3 linked regions of the Stegostoma tigrinum genome follow. The protein of the gene in region 1 purifies or fractionates together with the protein of each later gene. This does not show direct contact. Links are inferred from orthologs where the notes say so. Each region holds a gene or a part of one and is shown in the gene's direction. Other genes may lie near its edges.

Evidence for each region. The genes of interacting proteins can lie anywhere in the genome.
Region 2: the proteins of polyadenylate-binding protein 4-like (region 1) and paip1 purify together in Homo sapiens (co-immunoprecipitation; 3 studies listed by BioGRID and IntAct, with this or other methods). This does not show direct contact. The link is inferred for Stegostoma tigrinum from reciprocal best matches to the Homo sapiens genes PABPC4 and PAIP1.
Region 3: the proteins of polyadenylate-binding protein 4-like (region 1) and mkrn1 purify together in Homo sapiens (affinity purification with mass spectrometry; 3 studies listed by BioGRID and IntAct, with this or other methods). This does not show direct contact. The link is inferred for Stegostoma tigrinum from reciprocal best matches to the Homo sapiens genes PABPC4 and MKRN1.

What each region holds. Positions count from the first base shown.
Region 1 is NC_081377.1:33,630,395-33,637,558, forward strand, and holds the start of polyadenylate-binding protein 4-like, read left to right. Parts: upstream 1-4,160; 5' UTR 4,161-4,719; coding exon 4,720-4,912; intron 4,913-5,220; exon of another isoform or gene 5,221-5,324; intron 5,325-7,027; exon of another isoform or gene 7,028-7,164.
Region 2 is NC_081356.1:133,967,180-133,974,886, reverse strand, and holds the start of paip1 (polyadenylate-binding protein-interacting protein 1), read left to right. Parts: upstream 1-4,700; 5' UTR 4,701-4,776; coding exon 4,777-5,137; intron 5,138-7,707. UniProt on the Homo sapiens protein: Acts as a coactivator in the regulation of translation initiation of poly(A)-containing mRNAs. Its stimulatory activity on translation is mediated via its action on PABPC1. Competes with PAIP2 for binding to PABPC1.
Region 3 is NC_081371.1:23,327,800-23,334,723, reverse strand, and holds the start of mkrn1 (probable E3 ubiquitin-protein ligase makorin-1), read left to right. Parts: upstream 1-3,917; 5' UTR 3,918-4,208; coding exon 4,209-4,324; intron 4,325-6,924. UniProt on the Homo sapiens protein: E3 ubiquitin ligase catalyzing the covalent attachment of ubiquitin moieties onto substrate proteins. These substrates include FILIP1, p53/TP53, CDKN1A and TERT.

The sequences.
Region 1 (7,164 bases):
ACTTTATTGAAAGTAAAGCACTTTGGACTGCGAAATCACTGAAGAAACACAAGATTTTCATTTGTATCAGCGATAATAGGAACTGCAGATGCTGGAGAATCCAAGATAACAAGGTGTAGAGCTGGATGAACACAGCAAGCCAAGCAGCATCTTAGGAACAAAGATGCTGCTCAGCCTGTTGTGTTCATCCAGCTCTACACCTTATCTCTTTTTCTTTTGTATTCTAGGTTTGAATCCCTTCAATCAATTTCTACCTGACACAGTACCAAACAGTTCTTATCAAAATCACAAATTACAGCCTATGTGACCGTGACCATAGTAAACTTTCTCTTTACATTTTTCTTAATCCATCTGCAGAGTTTGACATGGTTGACCATAGCAATAACCTCTTACACCTTTCAAACTGTCATTCAGATAGATGTAACTGCTGTCACCTGTTTCTACTCTTGTTTATTCTATTGTAGCCAGAGAATCACTGTCATGGTTCCTTTTCCTGTTATTGTGTTGATGTCTCTGGTGTCAAAGATATATCCTTGGTTCCTTCCTATTTCCCATCTACATGCTACCAAACGAGAACTCCATCCAAAAGCACAGCATTAGTTTTCACACGTACACTATAACAACACACAAATCTACCTTCACCAGCTTGACTTCTTCACTGCTGATAAATGAGCAGACTGCTTATCCGATATCCGGTACTGGTTGAGTAGAAATTTCCTCCAATTAAATATTGTGAAGTCTGAAGTCATTGCCTTTAACCCAAATCCATACCCTATTCCCTAGTTACAAACTCTATTCCTTTCGCTGATAACAGTCTAATATTAAGTCAGACTGGCATTGATCCTGAACTGAACCTCTGATTTCCCATTCATGCTATCGCTAAGAATGTCTACTTCCACATTGTAACATCATCTGAAGTCAGTTCTGTCTCAGCTCAGAGATAATAGGAACTGCAGATGCTGGAGAATCCGAGATAACAAAGTGTAGAGTTGGATAAACGCAGCAGGCCAAGCAGCATCTTAGGAGCAGAAAAGCTGACATTCTGGGCCTAGATCAGCTCTACACTTTGTTATCTCTGCCTCAGCTCGTCTATCTTCTCTGTCTCTAGATTTGACCATTCCAATGCACCTTTGGCTGGTCTCCCATAACCTATACTCTATTTAGATCATTCAAAATATTGTTGCCTGCATGTTAACACACAAGTACCATTGCCCTATCATCCTTGTGCTCACTGACCTCCAAACAAGCAATGTTATCCTTTTGAAATTCTCATTTTTCAAATCCCTCTATTGTCTGAACTTCTCCCCCATCCCAAGCCCCACAATCCCCTGGGATATCTGCAATCCACTAACTCTTGCCTCTTGTGCATTACCCTAAATTTTAATTACTACACCAGTGGTCGCTGTATCTGGGGCGCAAACTTTGGAAATCCCTCCTGACACCTCTCCCCACTTTCCATTTTTACAACACTCCTTAATGGGTTTGTTGTCACACAATTGTTTTATAATGTTCCTCTGCCTAGTAAGGTTTTGCAAGATTCCATAAAAAATATTGCTGTGCCTGACAGCTGTGAAACAGAGCAATGAAATATCATAACCCCTCCCCAACTTACAACCAAAATGAAGATTTCCCCCAAGACAGTAGGAACTGCAGATGCTGGAGAATCGGAGATAACAAGGTGTAGAGCTGGATGAGCACAGCAGGCCAAGCAGCATCAGAGGGGTCTAGGCCGGATATGTCAGCCTTCCTGCTCGGCCTGCTGTGTTCATCCAGCTCTACACCTTGTTATCTATTGAAGATTTCCCCAGTTGCTTTGACCATGCAGGAGCTTCTGCCTCTTGACCCAGACATAATCACAGCTTCGGAGGGGGCCAGGGCACGACGGAGGTGGGACCCAATCTTGTAGTCCGTGAATACCCTTGTGGGCCAGACTCTTCAGAGAGTAACCTGAAGGGATAGACTATGGCAATAAAATGTGAGGCTGGATGAACACAGCAGGCCAAGCAGCATCTCAGGAGCACAAAAGCTGACGTTTCGGGCCTAGGCCCTTCATCAGAGAGGGGGATGGGATGAGGGTTCTGGAATAAATAGGGAGAGAGGGGGAGGCGGACCGAAGATGGAGAGAAAAGAAGATAGGTGGAGAGGAGAGTATAGGTGCAGAGGTGGGGAGGGGATAGGTCAGTCCAGGGAAGACAGACAGGTCAAGGAGGTGGGATGAGGTTAGTAGGTAGATGGGGGTGCGGCTTGGGGTGGGAGGAAGGGATGGGTGAGAGGAAGAACAGGTTAGGGAGGCAGAGACAGGTTGGACTGGTTTTGGGATGCAGTGGGTGGAGGGGAAGAGCTGGGCTGGTTGTGTGGCGCAGTGGGGGGAGGGGACGAACTGGGCTGGTTTAGGGATGCGGTGAGGGAAGGGGAGATTTTGAAACTGGTGAAGTCCCACTTCCTACAGACTAAGCGGGTGGCCATGGGCACCCGCATGGGCCCCAGCTATGCCTGCCTCTTTGTAGGTTACGTGGAACAGTCCCTCTTCCGCACCTACACAGGCCCCAAACCCCACCTCTTCCTCCGGTACATTGATGACTGTATCGGCGCCACCTCTTGCTCCCCAGAGAAGCTCGAACAGTTCATCCACTTCACCAACACCTTCCACCCCAACCTTCAGTTCACCTGGGCCATCTCCAGCACATCCCTCACCTTCCTGGACCTCTCAGTCTCCATCTCAGGCAACCAGCTTGTAACTGATGTCCATTTCAAGCCCACCGACTTCCACAGCTACCTAGAATACACCTCCTCCCACCCACCCTCCTGCAAAAATTCCATCCCCTATTCCCAATTCTTCCGCCTCCGCCGCATCTGCTCCCACGATAAGACATTCCACTCCAGCACATCCCAGATGTCCAAGTTCTTCAAGGACCGCAACTTTCCCCCCACAGTGATCGAGAATGCCCTTGACCGCGTCTCCCGCATTTCCCGCAACACATCCCTCACACCCTGCCCCCGCCACAACTGCCCAAAGAGGATCCCCCTCGTTCTCACACACCACCCCACCAACCTCTGGATACAACGCATCATCCTCCGACACTTCCGCCATCTACAATCCGACCCCACCACCCAAGACATTTTTCCATCCCCACCCCTGTCTGCTTTCCGGAGAGACCACTCTCTCTGTGACTCCCTTGTTCGCTCCACACTGCCCTCCAACCCCACCACATCCGGCACCTTCCCCTGCAACCGCAGAAAATGCTACACAATGATGCCACCCGAAGGTTGTAGGAACAGCAACTCATATTGCGCCTGGGAACCCTGCAGCCTAATGGTATCAACGTTGACTTCACCAGCTTCAAAATCTCCGCAGTGCCACAATGATGCCACCCGAAGGTTGTAGGAACAGCAACTCATATTGCGCCTGGGAACCCTGCAGCCTAATGGTATCAACGTTGACTTCACCAGCTTCAAAATCTCCCCTTCCCCCACCGCATCCCAAAACCAGCCCAGTTCGTCCCCTCTCCCCACTGCACCACACAACCAGCCCAGCTCTTCCCCTCCACCCACTGCATCCCAAAACCAGTCCAGCCTGTCTCTGCCTCCCTAACCTGTTCTTCCTCTCACCCATCCCTTCCTCCCAGCCCAAGCCGCACCCCCATCTACCTCATCCCACCTCCTTGACCTGTCCGTCTTCCCTGGGCTGACCTATCCCCTCCCCACCTACCCACCTATACTCTCTCCACCTATCTTCTTTTCTCTCCATCTTCGGTCCGCCTCCCCCTCTCTCCCTATTTATTCCAGAACCCTCACCCCATCCCCCTCTCTGATGAAGGGTCTAGGCCCGAAACGTCAGCTTTTGTGCTCCTGAGATGCTGCTTGGCCTGCTGTGTTCATCCAGCTTCACACTTTATTATCTAGGATTCTTCAGCATCTGCAGTTCCCATTATCTCGGATAGACTATGGCACATGCTTTGCGTTGGAAGTCTTTTGCAAACCTGCTGAACTTGAAGGGACAGAAACTCTGAGCTGTTGAGCCTGCAGAGGGCAGCGGCTGTAGCTGACTAAGCTGAGTTGTTGGGTTTTTTTCTTTCCTCCTCTCTTGTTCATTTTGCCTTTCATTCTGATGGCGCAGGAAATGACGGGACCGTTTGCTGGTTGATATAAAAAGCCTCCTCCTCCATTACTCTCTCTCCGTCTCCTAGCCACATGTGTGAGTGTGGAAAAGCTCCTGAGGTAGCGCACACTCATACGTGAAAAAAAATCTTTAAAAAAATCAAAAAAATCTTATAAACAGAAAAAAACAAAAATAAAAATCGGTGGAACTAAGTTGTGAAGAGGGCGAAAATCCAGTTACTTTTAATAATTTTAAAAAAAAGGAAAAATAAAGCCAACCAGGTCTCAGCCACGCTCTGGGATTTATCGCCTGGAATCGGGTGCGGACAAACCTTCCGAAGTTTCTGGAAGCTGAAGTATCTGAAGCGGTTTTTAAAAACAAAACAAAAGAAAAGAATTATAAGAGCCGGGGATCTGTTAACTCAATAGGCCACAGGCTTCAGGAGATAAGGAAGAGAATCAGATTTAACCGGTTCGAGCATTTCTGGAAAGTTCTTTGCCCGACGGTTCCTCGCCCACTCCCCTTTTTCTTTCAATTCCTCGCGCTCGCTGTCTCCCGTTTCGTTAGGGGGGGGGGGGGGGGGAAAGTTGATCGTTTAATTTGTGTCGGACTGTCTGAGGATGAATCAGACCGGTGCCAGTTACCCGATGGCCTCGCTTTATGTCGGCGACCTGCACCCAGATGTGACCGAGGCGATGCTGTATGAGAAATTTAGTCCGGCCGGGCCTGTGCTCTCCATCAGGGTTTGTAGAGACATGATCACCAGGAGGTCGCTCGGATACGCCTATGTCAACTTCCAGCAGCCCGCAGACGGTGAGCCAGACGCTTTATTTTTGTTTTTTTTAAAAAAAATCTTCGACCGAACCACATCCGCCCTTCTCCCCAGGCTTCTCCATCCAGCCCCTCGTCACTGGGGGCTGTGTGGCTGCTGGAGGCCAACGTCCAAACTCATCACTGCCCAGAGATATAAATACCACTGGCTGCTGGCAAGCGAAAGGAAATGTTTCTCGTCTGTCCGATGGTTTGAATAGCGCCAAACTTTTCTCATCTGGGAGATCTCCCTGCCCCGATCTTTAAAATACACCGCCAGTTAGTTTAAAACCTCGTCGATTTCATTGCAGGTAGCTGAAATGATGGGCTAGTAAAATTAAAAAAGGTTACGAATTCTGAAGGGATTGAAATCTCATGACCTTGGGGATCTCCGTTTGTAAACACAATGTCACAGGTATGAAAATCGATAATGACTTGTAACATTTGTCAATGTCACGGTTGGCAATGAATTGGCAGCTGGCACAGTTCTTTTTAAGATGTTCTAAAGAAATTACAGGCAGGGCCATGACAAGGTAAATATCCAGGAGGTGAAAAGCATTTCAGGCACAAAAAACAGTTATGGGCCTGATGTCCTTGAGGAAGAAAAGTTGTAGAGCACCTATCATGGCTCAATGAGCTGATGAAGGACTTGATTTATTACTAGGCCAAACAACCTACAAAAACTGTTCATTAGCTATTTTTAGCAGAGATTTTGGAAAATGCACCTATAATTAGCTTCAGTGTTTCTGGGTTGAGGGGAAATAAAAAGCAATTAGTGTCCAATACCAGATTTCTTCAGATGAACCCCTTGTGGAGAGTTCATGGCTGTGACTCAGAGTTAGCGAGCAAATGCAGTCTAAACTTTGCATTTATATAATGTCCTTTTGGTTAAGACCTCTGAAGGAACCATTATATTGTACAGGATGGAAGGAGGACCTAGCAGTTTTCTACTGTCATTGGTATAGTACTCTAAAATTGGATTAGAGTTTTGTACATATTAAAATTCAAGATTGAAGTGAAAGGCACCCATATTCCCAGAGGACTATGGGTCGCTTTCTTCTTAGAATACAAAAATAACTGCTGGTGAGTTTAATCTGAGGGCCACCATGTGTTGGGTGAGGGGCAGGATTGAGAACGCAGTTCCTTCATGGTAACCTCAGTCGATACAGGAATTGAACCCATGCTTTTGGTGTCACTGGATGTTGCAAAGTAGCAGTTCAGCCAAGGGACTTAACGGGTAGTCACTTTGAAGGATGCCTTCAATATTAAAATGTCGTTGAAGTATAGTGAAGATGTGTCTGAAGTGCTAATATGCAGCAATATGATCCTTGTCAGTGACTGAATGCTTTGCATTGTTGCTGAGCAGTTCTCCTTTATCTTCAAGCATAATGAGCTGAAGTAGATTGTGACTTGGGTTTGAGATCAGAAAACTTAGCAAATTACAGCCTTTGAACCCTGGATTTTCTCGAATGTCTGGTTCACCACTATATCAGGTTATCCATTTATCCACTAAGTGATGAGAGAGTGTCTGATTGTATGTACTTTAATTGTAATAAGATAGTTTTCTAGCCTTTTACTCACTTTTGTACTTAAAATTGTTTTTTGTCTGCTATGTTGGACTAGTTCATTCAATCTCATCTGGCATTACATAGTTTCTGCACAGAGAACATCTACCCTTTCCCTTCCTCTGATTGTTGGGTCAAGTTTTGTGTATTTGCAACAATGCTGGGGATTATCAGCAGATGGTATTCATCTTGGCTTTAGAAAGTGCAGTGTTAGCCATTTCGTATGTTACTTTGTCCCTGCTGTGATTGAATTTTGGAAAAAATTGGCATCTATCACCTTGGAAATTTTACGATGAGGAAAAGCTATTTGGTGTCTTCTAGTAACTTAAATTCATTTTACAATAGGATAGTAGCAGACATTGTCTAATTTCTTGTTCAGCCGAATAAGTTTCAGCACACAAGTAATATATCTTAGCACAAGTTATAGTGCTTAAAACAATAACTAGTGTGCTGAAATATGGATAATTATACCTTTTGATTTAATTGTTGCACTTAGATTATTAGTTTCACTTTGTTTTAATGTCTGTTAAAATTTTTAAAAAATCTTTTTCAGTTGTTGTTCTGTGATCCTCCTGACATCACAGCACCAGCTCTAACACAAAACAATGAAAGGTTCTGATGCTGAGCGAAACTGTGCAACTATCGTGGGCATAACCACAGTTCTCAGCCAATCGGAATCCTCCTTAATCT
Region 2 (7,707 bases), on another chromosome or scaffold:
TTGTCTGCTAGAATGATTATGATGTTTTTGTCCTTTTGCAGTCCTTCCAGGGCCTTCTTTTTTGTTGTGTTGAGCATGTTAAGCTTGTTCCTTCTGGTCAGTATCAGGACCACTGTCTGTCTTGTGGCTTGTTGTGTTTCCTCATTGCTGGAGGTGCTGATCCGTCATACTGCAGAACATAATTGGGTTTGGTACTCTTAAAAAAAACAGCTTGGATTACTCCATGTCCCTTAGATAGATGCTGGCTGGTACAAAACTTTAACTTTGTCAAAAAGAAACACCCTGTCATTTTTGTCTTGCACTGATCTGGACAGAATCACAAGAGTACCAAATCTAAAAGGGAATTACAATTTATACTGAATGATTTTTCAAAGTGTGGCTCATTTGGCTGTGTTAGTAGCCTGTACTCACACATTTGGCCCTGTCCTATTTAGCGGGGACATGCCCACACATTACCTCTTTCTCAAATCAACAGAAGCTTGAGGGGTAGCAGGGGAGCCATTCTCCGGGCCATGCTCATAGCAATGTCTCACTCAATATGAGTTGACGTGTCTGGTTTCAATTTAAACAAAAGCTTGAAGTTAACTGTCCCCTGATACATTCTTCACAGCAACACTCCAGCAATTTAATTCACTTGCTAAACATTCAGCAATCTCTTTCAGTGCAGTACAGATTTTCCTTTTGAGATTTGGTATTCTTGTGACCTCTGTCCTGATGGGTTTCTGGATAGTCAGGTGACCTAGGTAGGTTCTGGTTGGAAAGAGGTAATGTATTTGCTTCAAAATACAAACCCATTTTCCAGGCGCAAATTTACTGCCCTCGACATTTTAACGGGTTGTGTTGAAAGGATATTAAAAGGCTGCCCAATCTGTCAACACCAAGAGTTATGGAATGTCAAACAGGGATTTTCAATAAGCTAATCATAACTGTGATATTGGTGGCATATCAATCATTACAAGCCCCCATCTATTAGCTGCATACCAATCACCTGAGCTCCAACCCATTATGTGAACTAAAACTGCCATCATGAAACTGAAACCAGCTTAAACAGGGGTTACACCTTATGACGTCTTATTATTTACTCCTTTACGGAGAGAGAGGGCCCTTCAGCCCTTTTCATTCTAGAGGATGGTCTGAAATGTTGTGATGCATTTCGTGCTACTCTGTTAGCATTCTAAGTGCGTGTTTCATCACTGGAACTTATCTTTTCTTAAATGGATGTGTGTCTGCGTGTGCTTGAGAAGGTGGGTTTTTCATTGCATTTCCTTTTTGGGTTCTCTGAAAATAAATTTTTCTCCTTTCTTATGGCTTGAACTGACATATTTATTCCTTAAAAAGACAACACTCAAAGGTTTGAAACACTTCTCAAACCAACAGAGAGGTAAGAAAAAAGGGGAATAGTTATCCAATGACCTCTCCTGTCTTTAATAGTGCTACTTTACAGGTGAGACAGAGAGATATTGATAACAGTGGTGGAGAGTAGGAGGCAGGTAAAGCAGAGGCAGATAGGTCTTTGAGAAGATAGCAGGTAGGGTAAGGGTTATCTGGGGTAGACAGAAAGTAGATGAGGGGTATAGACAGGGTGGATAGCAAAAAGCTTTTTCCCAGAGTGGGGGACTCAATTACTAGGGGTCATGAGTTCAAAGTGAGAGGAGGAAAGTTTAAGGGAGATATGCGAGGAAAGTTCTTTACACAGAGGGTGGTGGGTGCCTGGAACGCGTTGCCAGCGGAGGTGGTAGACGCAGACACGTTAGCGTCTTTTAAGATATATTTGGACAGGTACATGGATGGGCAGGGAGCAAATGGACACAGACCGTTAGAAAATAGATGACAGGTTAGACAGAGGATCTTGATCGGCGCAGGCTTGGAGGGCCGAAGGGCCTGTTCCTGTGCTGTAGGTTTCTTTGTTTCTTTGTTAGATTGACCAGAGCACTGAAGTTGAGTAAGAGTGAAAAAAATTGCATTTTGTCAAAGATTTTCATCTTGCACTCATCAGTTCAAAAGAAGGTTGTTTTGTAATACAATTTGCACTGTAGGAAAAACAAACAGTGATTAGTTGGCAAGAAGTCTCTGATTGGTAGAGGTGTTGCCATGGAAATTCTACCACTACAAATACTTAAGTGCTGTGCGTTAATAGATGAAGTTTGTGTGGACGGGCAGTTACACATATTAATACACAGGGCCCTGCTCTTTGCAGTTAGAACGAACCTCTACAATGCACTGTGTCTGTTCCAATTCAACAAAATACGTGACCACCATTTGCTGGTTCACTTCTGAGGGAAATGACTTTATCACACAGAATCAACTTTCATGGTTCAAAATTTAACAAAGCCTAGCAGTTAACTGTCAATCTCCATACCATGGTCATAAACAGGGTGCGTCAAAGAAGCAGTTGCCTGTTTCACTGGTGAAGCTGTTCTCTACCAAGGAAATCCAAGAGATAAAAGGTTCTCTGGTTCAAAATGCCCTCCAGCCCCTCATTGTCAAGAAGTAAGTCACAGAAAATAATCTTCCAGCAGCAACTATCAACTTTCTAATACTGGAAAGAACACACTCTGAGAGAATAATGAAACCCATAGATCACTTGACTTTGTAAAGTCAGCGACCTGAGGCAGATGGGGTAGTGGTAAATATAATTATGAATGCAAATGTAAAATAATAATCAAAATAAAAGCATGGTTGTTATGGGACTGAAAGGGTTAATACTATAGTTTGCAGTAAGTAGTACATACTCGAGTGATGTCACAAGGATTGTGGGCTGGATATCTTAAATCTTAAGGGAATGAGAAGTCATATCTATGTCTTCCTCAGAGTGTCTGTAACAATATCGATCCTATTCACATAACCTGGACGAGTTGCTTACGTGTAATAACCTACATTAAGGGAGACAGTGGTGTCGTGGGTTAGTCATGCAGAACCACAGGCTAATGTTCTGGGGATTAAAAACAGAACATGCTGGACAAACTCACCAGATTTGGCATCATCATTAGTGAGAGAAAGAGAGTTAATGTTTCAAGTGCAATATAGCTCTTCTTCAGAATCTTCTTTGATAGTATTATGGGTTCGAATCCCAACAAGGCAGAGATGAAATTCCAATTCAGTTTTTAAAAATGTAAGATTAAATGTTGGCCTAATGGTGATGAAGTAATGATTGGTGAGGGTCTTTGCAGCAATGTCTTTTCGCGAAGGAACTAGGAACTGGAGTCAGCTGTCCAGCTCCTGAGCCTCTTCCACCATTCAAAGAGACCTTTGCTGGTCTGTGGCTTAAACCCTTAATACTTCTGCTTAACAAAAAAAATGATCAATTCCATATTTAAATTAATAACTGATCCAGCATCCACTGCCGTTTGTGGCTGGGAGTTCCAAACATCTATCAGCCATTACGTGATCAGAGATAATGGGAACTACAGATGCTGGAGAATCCAAGATAACAATGAACACAGCAGGCCAAGCAGCCATTATGTGTAGAAGTCCTTCCTAATCTCTCCTGAATTGCCTGGCCCTAATTGTCAGACAATGGCCCCCTGGTGGAAGCAACATGGGCTGAATGGCCTCCTTCTATGATGATCAGAGTGCCATGATATTATTGATGAGATCAGCCTCCTTCTCTTGAATTTAGAAGGTTATGGGGTGATCTGACTCAAGTCTTCGAGATATTAAAAGACAAGTTAGATGAAGATATACTATTCCCACCAATTGGAGATTCTAGAAGCAGGGTTCGATCATTCAGGAGGAATGTTAGAAAGCATTGCTACACACAGGTTTGGAATTCTGTTCCACAAATAACAGTGGATGCTAGATCAATTGTTAGCTTTAAATCTGAGATGGCTAACTTTTTTCTGAAGCGTAGTTATTAAGAGATATGAGCCAAAGGCAGTGATGTGGTAGGAGACCACAAAGAAACGATGATATCACTGCATTGTAGAAAAGCTTGACGGGCCAAATGGACTATTCCTATTCGTACATAGCAGATTTATGATTATCAGATCAACCATGATCTCATTAGTCAGAAGTCACACGATACCAGGTTATAGACCAACACGTTTATCTGAAATCACAAGCTTTTGTAGCACTACTCCTTCATCAGACTACGTGGAGGAAAACGCACAGGCACAGAAATTATTTCATTTTTTAAAATTATTTCTTTTCTTAAATCATTTAGGTCATAGGTCATCCTTGCACTTGCTATTCAGCTGTTAACATTTTACTCACACCATTTGACACTCATTTGTCCTGTTTCTTGACACTCTTAATCACCTGGAATGACGTTGTAAATAACTCTCCGTCTATAGATTCTGTACCTGTAACTCCCTCCACTTCAGATGACAGACCAGCATTCTGAAAGATTATGTTTTCAAATAAACCTGTCGGACTATAACCTGATGTCATGTGCTTTCTGACCTTGTCCATCGTGAACTAATTAAAGCCTGCTGTCATTTATCGGCTGAATGGCTTTCTCTTGTTCCTTTATAACAAATCTGTGATAATCACTTTGAACAGCGGAGCAGAATCGATGGGTTGAACGGCCGACTTCCTCCTATTCCCAAGGCCTTCTGGTCGATTGGAGGACCATCCAGCCTTCGTCCTGGTCGCTTCTTGCTCTCGGGCTCTTTGGCGGCGAACAAAGGGGCGGCAGTTAACCTGATTGTTGCGCACTTCCGGCTGTTTTGTTTTGAACCGGATGCGGGGTGAGGGTCTTCGCGAGCGACTTCCGCCGGAAGTGAATGTTGTTTTGGGGGGAGGGGAGGGGTCTGAAGCGGCGAACGGTTACGGACGATGGAGGGCGGCAAACCCGCCGCTTTCGACCGGGCCCCGGGAGCGGGCCGTGGGCGGGGCCGGAGCTTCAGCGGTAGCAGTAGTGGTGGCGCCACCACCACCGGAGGGCCGCAAGCCCCGGGCCCGGGTGGAGTTAGGGCCCAGGGCCACGGTGACGGTGCTCAGGAAAACGGGCTGTGCGCGGCCCCGGGCTCAGGGCCTGGAGTCGGCCCTGCGGCTGGGAGCGGCCCTGGAGCCGCCGCCGCTGCCGCCAACGGGGCGGCGATCGTGCAGGGCAACGGCGTTCACGTGAAGAGCGGTATCCAGCAGCAGGAGCCCCTGAGACAGCCGCGGAGCAGCCCACCTGCCGCTGAGTACTCAGGTAAATGGGGCGAGCAGCCCATCAACACAGACTGCAGGTCATGTGTGGCACTTAGTGGGCATTTGCGGGGGCCTCACCTCCCCGATAATGTGTAGGCTCTCAGCTTGGAGGTAGTCACTTGCATTGTTATCAGGGCAAGTCTGTGAGCGGTTTGTGGGGGTACAAAATCGTTGACATGAGGGAAACCTCTGGAAGTCTACATCGATGTCAGGAGAGTGTGTAGAATCTGTGCGGCGTGCAGGGTGCGTTGTTATCAAACTATATACTCTGGATGTGTCAGGGAGTTCAATTACATTGCTGTTGGGGAATCGAAAGAATCAGTACAGTTTGCTGAATTCAAGTACAGTAATAATGGAGTTATCTAGACCATAAAGATAATCAGTTCAATTACACCCGTATTGGGAATGTGTCAGATCTTGGAGATTAGAGAGCCTGGGTAGTCCGTATCAACGAGATACATTGAATCAGCAGAGATTGTAGGGAATTGAAATACATTGCTGAAAGGGGAATGTATATAGAGCCATATAACATGGAAACAGACGCTTATGTCCAACTCAAGCTGCCTCTGATCAACATCTTTGTTATTCACCTTATCCATGCCCTTATGATGTTATGAACCTCTATAAGGTCACACCTTCATTTCCTACACTCAACGAAAAAAGATCCAACCTTTCTTTGTAACTCAAACGCTCCAGTCTTGGCAATGTCCTGGTAAATCTTTTCTGAATCCTCTCCAATTTAACAATATCCTAAATCAGCGTGATTGTAGAAATTGCAGTAAGCTCAGGTAGATTTATTTCAGACAATGTAGAGAATCCAGAACATCCACAAAGGATTCAGGCCTGTTAATACCTAAGTGATGGCAGGTTGTATATAATCAAGGGGTAAGTTATGTCTCATTAATTTCTTGTACTTTGGCAGAATCAAAATTTTGTGTATATATTTTATACTGCTTTCCATTCTGGATAATGACTGCTCGCCAATATGCTTTACTTTCAGTTCCTCAACCAATTCGAAGTCCATACTCCTTGATTTAATTCGTTTCTGGAGTATGAGCCTTGCTGCCTAGATTAACATTTATTGCCCACAGTGAGCTGTCTCCTCAACCTGTTGACAGCCTTGGGGTTGGGGGGAGGGGGGGTGAAGAGAGAGAAGAACAGACAACTGTAATGCTTCCCAAAAGTTAAACTTCCTGTCTACTTCTGCTAACCTTTGACGTATCAAGACTTGATTAACTACTTGTAAAAATATTCAATAACTCTTTTCCCACTGCCATTTGAAGTGAGGAGTGTTGCAAAGATTCATGACTCTCTGCAAGAGAAGAAAATGCTTTGTCTGTGTTTTTAACAAGCAGCCCCTGATTTTTAGGCTTTGACCCACAATTCTTGATTCTCTTGTTAGAGGAAGCATGCTTTGCAGTTTTGCCCTGTCAAAGTCCATTGGGATGTCACATGTTGCATTCCAGTGGGGTTACTCTTCTAAACTTCCAGCAGATACAAGCCCTGCCTGTCAATCTTTTTCTCATAGGACACCCCACCAATTTCAGTTTTAGTGCAGTGAGCCTTCTCTGAACAGGTTCCATTGGAACTACATCCTTCCTTAAGTGAGGTGATCAATACTGGGTCTAGGCCCAAAACATTAGCTTTTCTGTTCCTTTGCTGCTTAGCCTGCTTTGTTCGTCCAGCCCTACTCCCTGTTATGTGTGATCAATACTGTGTACTGTTTTCCAGATGCAGTTTTACCAGTGCCCTGTTTAAATGAAGCGTAACCTTTCTCAATTTGTATTCAATTTTACTTTGAATAAATCATCACGTTCTTTCAGCTTTCCAAATTATCTGCTGTATCTGTAGCTTTTGCAATTAATTCAGTAGGGCATCCAGATCCCTCTGCATCTCAAAGCTGTGCAGTCTCTCACTATTTGGATAATATGCTGTGTTTTGTTTTTGTTCTTCCTGTAAAAATTGATGTTTTTGCATTCTTGTGCAAGACACTGTTTACTAGATCTTTGCCTGCTCACTTAAGCTAGCTGCATCTCTTTGAAGCCTATTCTTGTTCTCTGTTCCTACCTATTCTCCTTTCTGCCTTGTGTTATCAGCAAATTTGGTGATCAGACTTTCTGTCCTTTTGCCAAGCGTTTTTACAAATTGTAAACACTTGTGGTCCCTGCATGGATCTGTGTGACACACCAAGCATTGCACCTTGCGAACCAGAAGGCAACAATTCCGCATCTCTTTACTGTTAGCTAGCCAATCTGCAATCCACGCCAATGTGTTATCACTATACAATGAGCTTTCATTTTGCACAATAACCTTTGATGTAACGCCTCATCAGAAGCCTGCTAGAAATCTATGTACAAGAGATCTATTCTCCTCTTAATAGTACTTAAGAGAATTCTACTAAGTCAGTTAAATGTGATCTCTTTCAGAAAAGTATGTTACCTGTGCCTGAGTAACCTGAACGTTTTTAGTACGCTTCCATAATGTCTTTAACAATGATTTCAAACGTCAAACTAACTGTAGATTCCTGCACTGACTGTCTCCCTTTTTGAATAAGAGTTCCATTCACTATCC
Region 3 (6,924 bases), on another chromosome or scaffold:
TCTGTAGGAAACAAGAGAAGTGATTGCTGGGCCCCTTGCTGAGATATTTGCATCATCAATAGCCACAAGTGACTGGAGGCTGGCTAATATGGTGTGACTATTTCGGAAAGGTGGTAAGGAGAAGCCAGGGAGCTATAAAGAGGTGAGCCTGACGTCAGTGTTGGGGAAGTTGTTGGAAAGGATCCTGAGGGACAGGATTTACATGTATTTGAAAAGGCAAGGACTGATTAGGGTTAGTCAACATGGCTTTGTGCATGGGAAGTAGTGTTTCACAATCTTGATTTAAGTTTTCTGAAGAAGTAACAAAAGAGGTTTGATGAAGGCAGAGTGGCGGACATGATCTATAAGGACTTCATTGAGGTGTTTGACAAGGTTTCACATGGTTACTGTTTAGCAAGGTTGAATCACATGAAATACAGGGAAAACTAGCCATTTGGATGCAGAACTACCTCAAAGATAGAAGACAAAGGCTGATGGTGGAGGGTTGCTTTTCAGACTGGAGGCCCGTGACTAGCAGTGTGCCACAAGGATCAGTGCTGGGTCCACTGCTTTTGTCATTTGTTGAAATGATTTGGATGTGAACTCGGGAGGTATATTTAGTATATTTGCAGATGGCACCAAAATTGATGGTACAGGAGACAGCCAAGAAGGTTACCTCAGAGTCCAACAGGACCTTGATCAAATGGGCCAGTGAGTTGAGAAATAGCAGATGGAGTTTAATTTAGATGAAAGTGAGGTGCTGCACTTTGGAAAGGCATATCAGGGCAGGACTTACAGACTTCATAGTAAGGTCCTGGGGAGTGTTGCTGAACAAAGAGATCTTGGAGTGCAGGTTCATAGTTCCATGAAAGTAGAGGCACAGGTAGACAGGATAGAGAAGAAGGCACTAGGTATGCTTACCCTTATTGGTCAGAGCATTGAGTATAGGTGATAGCAAGTCATGTTGTGGCCGTACAGGACATTGGTTAGGCTACTACTGGAATACTGTGTTCAGTTCTGGTCTCCATGATATAGGAAGGATGTTCAGAAACTTGAAACAGTTCAGAAAAGATTTATAAGGGCTGTGACAGGGTTGGAGGGTTTGAGTTTTAGGGAGATGGTAAATAGGCTGTGGCTATTTTCCCTGCAGCGTCAGAGGCTGAGGGATGACCTTAAAGAAGCTTATAAAATCTTGAGGGGCGTGGATAGGGTGAATAGACAAGGTCTTTTTCCTGGGTTAACGGAGCCCAAAACTAGAGTGCACAGATTTAAGATGAGGGGAAAGATTTAAAAGGGATCTATGGGGGCAACTTTTTCACACAGAGGATGGTGCGTGTATGGAATGAACTGCCAGATGAAGTGGTGGAGGCCAGTACAATTACAACATTTAAAAGGCATCTGGATGGGCATATGAATAGGAAGGGTTTAGCGGGAAATGGGCCAAATGCTGGCAAATGGGACTAGATTAATTTAGGATATCTGGTCAGCATGGACAAGTTGGCCCGAGAGGTTTGCTGTACGCTGTTCAGCTCTATGACAATACGGCCTCATCTAGCCTGCTAGTTATACAATGTAGATATATTAGTTAGTGCTGTGTGTATTATTTTTATCCCATGAGATTAGTAGCCATGTACTGATAATCCTCAAATGGTGTGAGTTATGACAGGGATGATAATCCACAGTGTGACTGCATTTGGTGAAGAGACAATGGTGTTACAAGAAGGAGTTTTACATGCAGCAATAGATTAAAATCCAGGAAGTATTGTGTGAGAGTAGCGTGAGGGCTTAATCAGTTCAAGCATTCAAGACAAAATTGGATTATCATCTGAAAAGGAAGAATGTGCTGATTTTTGGGGAAAGACAGGGGAATGGCACAAAGTACATTGAGACTGGCAAAGAAACAGCAAGCTGAAAGGCCTTCATTTCCTCTGTAACAACACTATGATTTTGGGTTAGTCAGGATCCAGCTATAGATGAAGCAGCTTGAAGTGGAAAGATAAATTCAGTAATTTAAATTAAGAAAAAGTGAAATTTTGAAATACTCAAACTGCAAGAGGAAAACAGAAAAGAACATAGTTTAAAATGAATTCCATGGTTTAATGCTTATGTGGATTGTGTGTTCTTTTTACTTTTTCAACTGAGGCAGTATTTCTATTGACCAGACAGCGTTATTCTAGCACGTACGGAAATTGCTTGGGGACTACAAGGAAACCCACTGTCGCACTCTCCTAAGTAAATGCCTGGGAAATTCAATTTTCTGCTGGCAATTCTATTATGCCACAAAAATCTAAGAAATTGGATAGTTGCAATGAAATTAAGTAAAATAGTTACTCAGGACATCTTGAATAAGAGTGAAGTACTCAGGAAAAGCTAGACCATTAAATACATTGCATAACTCTTGACCATACATTAAACTTACACTCAAACCCTGGCTAGATGCTGTTTGGGAACCTGACACCCCAGACCTCGTGACATACAAAACCCACTACTTTCTGGTCCAGATACCCCTTCCCCAAACCCACCAAACGCCCTGTCTCCAGATCCAACAGGCCCCTCCGTCAGGACCCATCAGACCCAACAAATCTGCCTTCCCAAATCAGCCCACAGACCACTGCCACCTGATTCAACCACCCCACACTGCCAGACGTGATTATCCATTTCCCCCCGAACTGCTGGACTGGACAAGAACTGAACCCTTCTGCTGTCTAGATATCCGCCCACTCTCCTGCTGCCAGGCCTGAAGCTCCCAGGATCTCTAACCTGTGCTAGACCTACCCATGCTGACTTATCTTAGACACTTGCCTTTCCCCTATCCACTTGGCACCCTAGTCTACCTCAATTGACACCCTACCCATTAGGTACTTTACTTAGCTGGCACCCTATTGTGTGCAGGCACCCATCTGGCATCGAACCACCTGCTACCATACCCACAGTCCAGCTGGCACCCTAACGTGGCACCATACTCCCCTGGTACCCTATAACCTCTACCTATCCTGCACCCAGTCATAGCCCCCTGACTTCACTCTTCCCCTATAACATTTGACGTTTGACAGCAACTAGGAGGATCATTGAGTTTCAGAACAGCGTCGCTAACTGCGAGAACTGTCAGAATGGAAGCATGGTTCCGCATTTCTAAGCGGCCCTGAGCGGAATCTCCTTCAGAAATGCGGACTTCTCCCTTCTTCCGTTAGGGAAGGACCAAGCTCCTCGGAAAATCTGGCCCCCGCGAAGTGGAAATGGGAACTGCAGATGCTGTAGAATCCACGGTAACAAAGTGTGGAGCTGGATGAACACAGCAGGCCAAGCAGCCTCTCAGGAGCACAAAAGCTGACGTTTCGGTCCTCTCTGATGAAGGGTCTAGGCCCAAAACGTCAGCTTTTGTGCTCCTGAGATGCTGCTTGGCCTGCTGTGTTCATCCAGCTCCACACTTTGCTACCTCGCGAAGTGGAGCTTATTTATTGCAAATTTCATCGTGATTTGTCACTTACATTTATTGCATAATAATATTCGCATCTACCCATAGTGTAAGGCTGCATTACATCTTAAAATTCAACACAAGGTGATCACTTCTTCCCTGGTACACGGGGGGAGGGTATTTTAAGCGGTCAGCAAATATATCAGCAACCAGAAAACATGTATGGTGCCTTATGTACAATATTTGGCGTACGTTGTGATGGTAAATGACATCGTGTTTACGTTACAACTTGCCATCTCCTGTTTTGAAATTATGGATGCAACAACCTCACTCTGCCACCCTCCGACCAAACTCCATTCGCTTTCAATACCCGCGCATGCGCTGTCTCCGGAAAATACCGAGGGAGACAAACCCTTTTCTCCGGAAATTATCGATCACATTTTCCGGGCTGTTCAGGGAGTCACAGTTACCATAGAAACCTGGATCTGCATGATTATTCTCCATCTTTATCCTCTTTACTTTATTCACGGGGACGGCTCTGACGCGAGTTTTGTTTTATTAAATTTTTTTTATTTTTTCCACTCTTGACCCCACCACCACCTGCATGTAGGCGGGCGCCGATCGGAACGAGTGATCCGTATCGTGGACGGGACGTGGCGCTTGTGCGGTTTTGTTCTCTCCGGAAGTATCAGTTAGCGTCTTCTGGAGACGGCGTGCGCGACCCCGAGCCCCAGACCGAGCCTTTTCCCCGGAAGTGGTGGCGCAGGGGCCGGTGGGAGGCCCCGCTGTAGCCGCGCGGTGACTGTGGTGGATAATGGCGGAGGCAGCGGCATCCATGGGGACGGCGGCGGCGGCAGCAGCTGGAGGAGCAGGAGGCAGCAGTAGTGGCGGCGCTGGTGGAGTTGGCTGGACTAAACAGGTCACGTGCAGGTAATCGAAAATGATGGTTCGTTTTTATGCCACATAGCTTTTGTACGCCCGAATGTAATCAGCCACACAACCATAAAAGGCCTTTCACAGGCGATCTGTTTAAACGTCAGTTGATGCTGCGAGTGGCAACGAAAACAGAAAACGATTGGTACTGTTCCTAGTTAGACCAGTTCCCGAGATGGGGCTTTTAGGTATGGCATGCATCAGGGTTTTATAGGAGTAAAAGAAATGGGTTTTGTTCAACTCCCTCTTGATTTCGGATTTTTAAAGTGTTCTGAATCTTTCCGGGCTCCTTTTCATGTTGTCTTTAAAAGGGATGTGTTTATTGGTTCTGAGGTGCCTTTGAAAGTTGCTAAGAAACTTTGAGGTCATGTCAACCAAAAACTGCCGAGAGTTAGTTTTCTCAATATTCGTAAGAGCCTAAAATATATTGTACGTTTACGTTTTAAATCGAATGTAAATAATTGAATATTTTGTACAGTTTTAGGAGCAATTGAGTAAAACCTTATTGTTTCTATTTTACTGTAGATTCGAGGGAGCGAATTGGTTTATAGCTGAACTTTTCTTTGCATCTCTACTCAAAATTTGCGAATTTGTATAATTTCGTATGGTCTTCTGGGTTGATCAGTCGAATGCTGTAACTTTGGATACTTGAAACAACAGTGTAGTATAGCACACAAATATTTTAGTCTTGGAGATAGTGTTGGGTAAAATCGCAAAGGGACTATGCTAGTTAGAGTGGGCAAAACTTTTTGCAGATGTAATTCAGTGTAAGAACTGAGATTTGCCCAATTGGAATCTAAAAGTAATTACAGTATTTAAATGGAAATAATCTAAAAACTATGACTGAGCAGAGAGATTTGTGGGTCCAGCCACAGAGTCAGTGGGGTTGATGCACGTATAACACTTCTGTTATTTGTCTCAGGTGGCTGGAATATAAAAGGTTGGAAGTTGTATTCTCATGATATAGGACTCTGGTTTAGACATTAACTGGGCTGCCGCATCCTGTTTTGAGGTCTGTATCTCAGAAAGCTATATTGAGTTTGTAAAACGCAAAGTACAGATTGGAGTTTCATCAGGGCTAGAAGAGTTAAATTATGAAAAACAATTGAGTAGGGTGTATTCCTTTAAATATAGAAGGTTAAGCACTTCTCTTGAGGTTTTTAAGATGATCACAGAAGCTAGTGGCTCCTCTCTTTTGCTGGTCTATTTCTTTTGGAGGGTATCTCCAGAACAACATAAACTTTGAGTTCATCCCTTGGTGAAATCAGAAGACACTTCCTCAAGTAAAATGCAATAGAAATCTTAAACAACTGTTGAAGAATGCCCAATTGAATGTTTAAAAGCCGGAAATGTTAGATTTTTGTTTTACAAAGAACTGTGGGTGTTAGATTTCTGTACAGCACTTTCTTTAAAAATCTTGTGTTCGTAACATGTACATCACTGGCATGGCCAACATTGTTGCCTATTTCTTGGTGGTGAAGTGCCTTCTTGAATGACTGGAATCCTTGTGCTGGAGATGCTCCCACATGGTATTAAGCAGTGTTCCAGGAATTTCACCTAAAGAAGATGAAGAATACTTCTTCAACTTGCAGGTGGTGGAAATCCCATACGTCTACTGTTTTTGTTTTTCTAGGTGGTAGAGGTCACAGGTTTGGAAGGTGTTGTTGAAGAAACTTTTTGGCAAGTTGCAGTCAAAGTTGTAGATAGTATGTATTGCAAACAGTGTCCTGCTGTTACCGGCAGCAAATGTTTCATGGGGTGGTTCATGTGTTGATTAAGAGGATGTCTGATGTCCACCTGGAGTGATATGCCTGAAAAATACCATGAAATCAGACAGTATCCTGTCTCACACAAGACTTACCACATCTCGCTTGATTGGCACCACCATTGCACAATGGCAGCAGTTTGTACAGTTACGTATATGCACTGCAGCAGCTCAACAAGATTTATGAAATTGCATCTTCCAAACCTATAACTTCAATCATCAAGAAATATGGGGGCAGCGGATGTATAGCAATAATGGCAATTGCAAGTTCCCCTTCAGGCAGCACAGAATACTAACTTGGAATCATTTTGAATTTATTTCACAGTTATTCAGTCACAGCCCTGGAAGTCCCTTCCTAAGAGCACTGTAGGTGTACCTCATGGTCAAAAAAGTGGCTCACTGCTAATTTGCAAGGAACATTAAGGATGGCTAATAAATGCTGGCATTGCCAGTGATGACCATGTCCGACAAAATTATATGTTAAATACAATAGGTGCAGGAGTAGATCATGAGACTCATTGATTCTGCTCTACCTTCAGTCTGATCAGGGTTGATTTTTAGCCTGAACTCTACTTTTCCCATTTGCACATCCCTTGATTCCTTGAGAAATCAAGGTTAGGAAATTAATTGTGTCACAGGCTACCCAGTCTGTGCCTTGCTCTTGTCACCACAGTATTTCAGCAGCTTGTCTGGTTGAGATTCTTAACAATGCTAACATGACATGAATGTTGATGTTGTGAGATTTAGCAATGAGAGTTCTCTTGAATGTTGTAGATAGGCTGTCATTTGCTGAAATTAGCTATTGACTGGCACTGTAGCTCTTGTCCCTAAG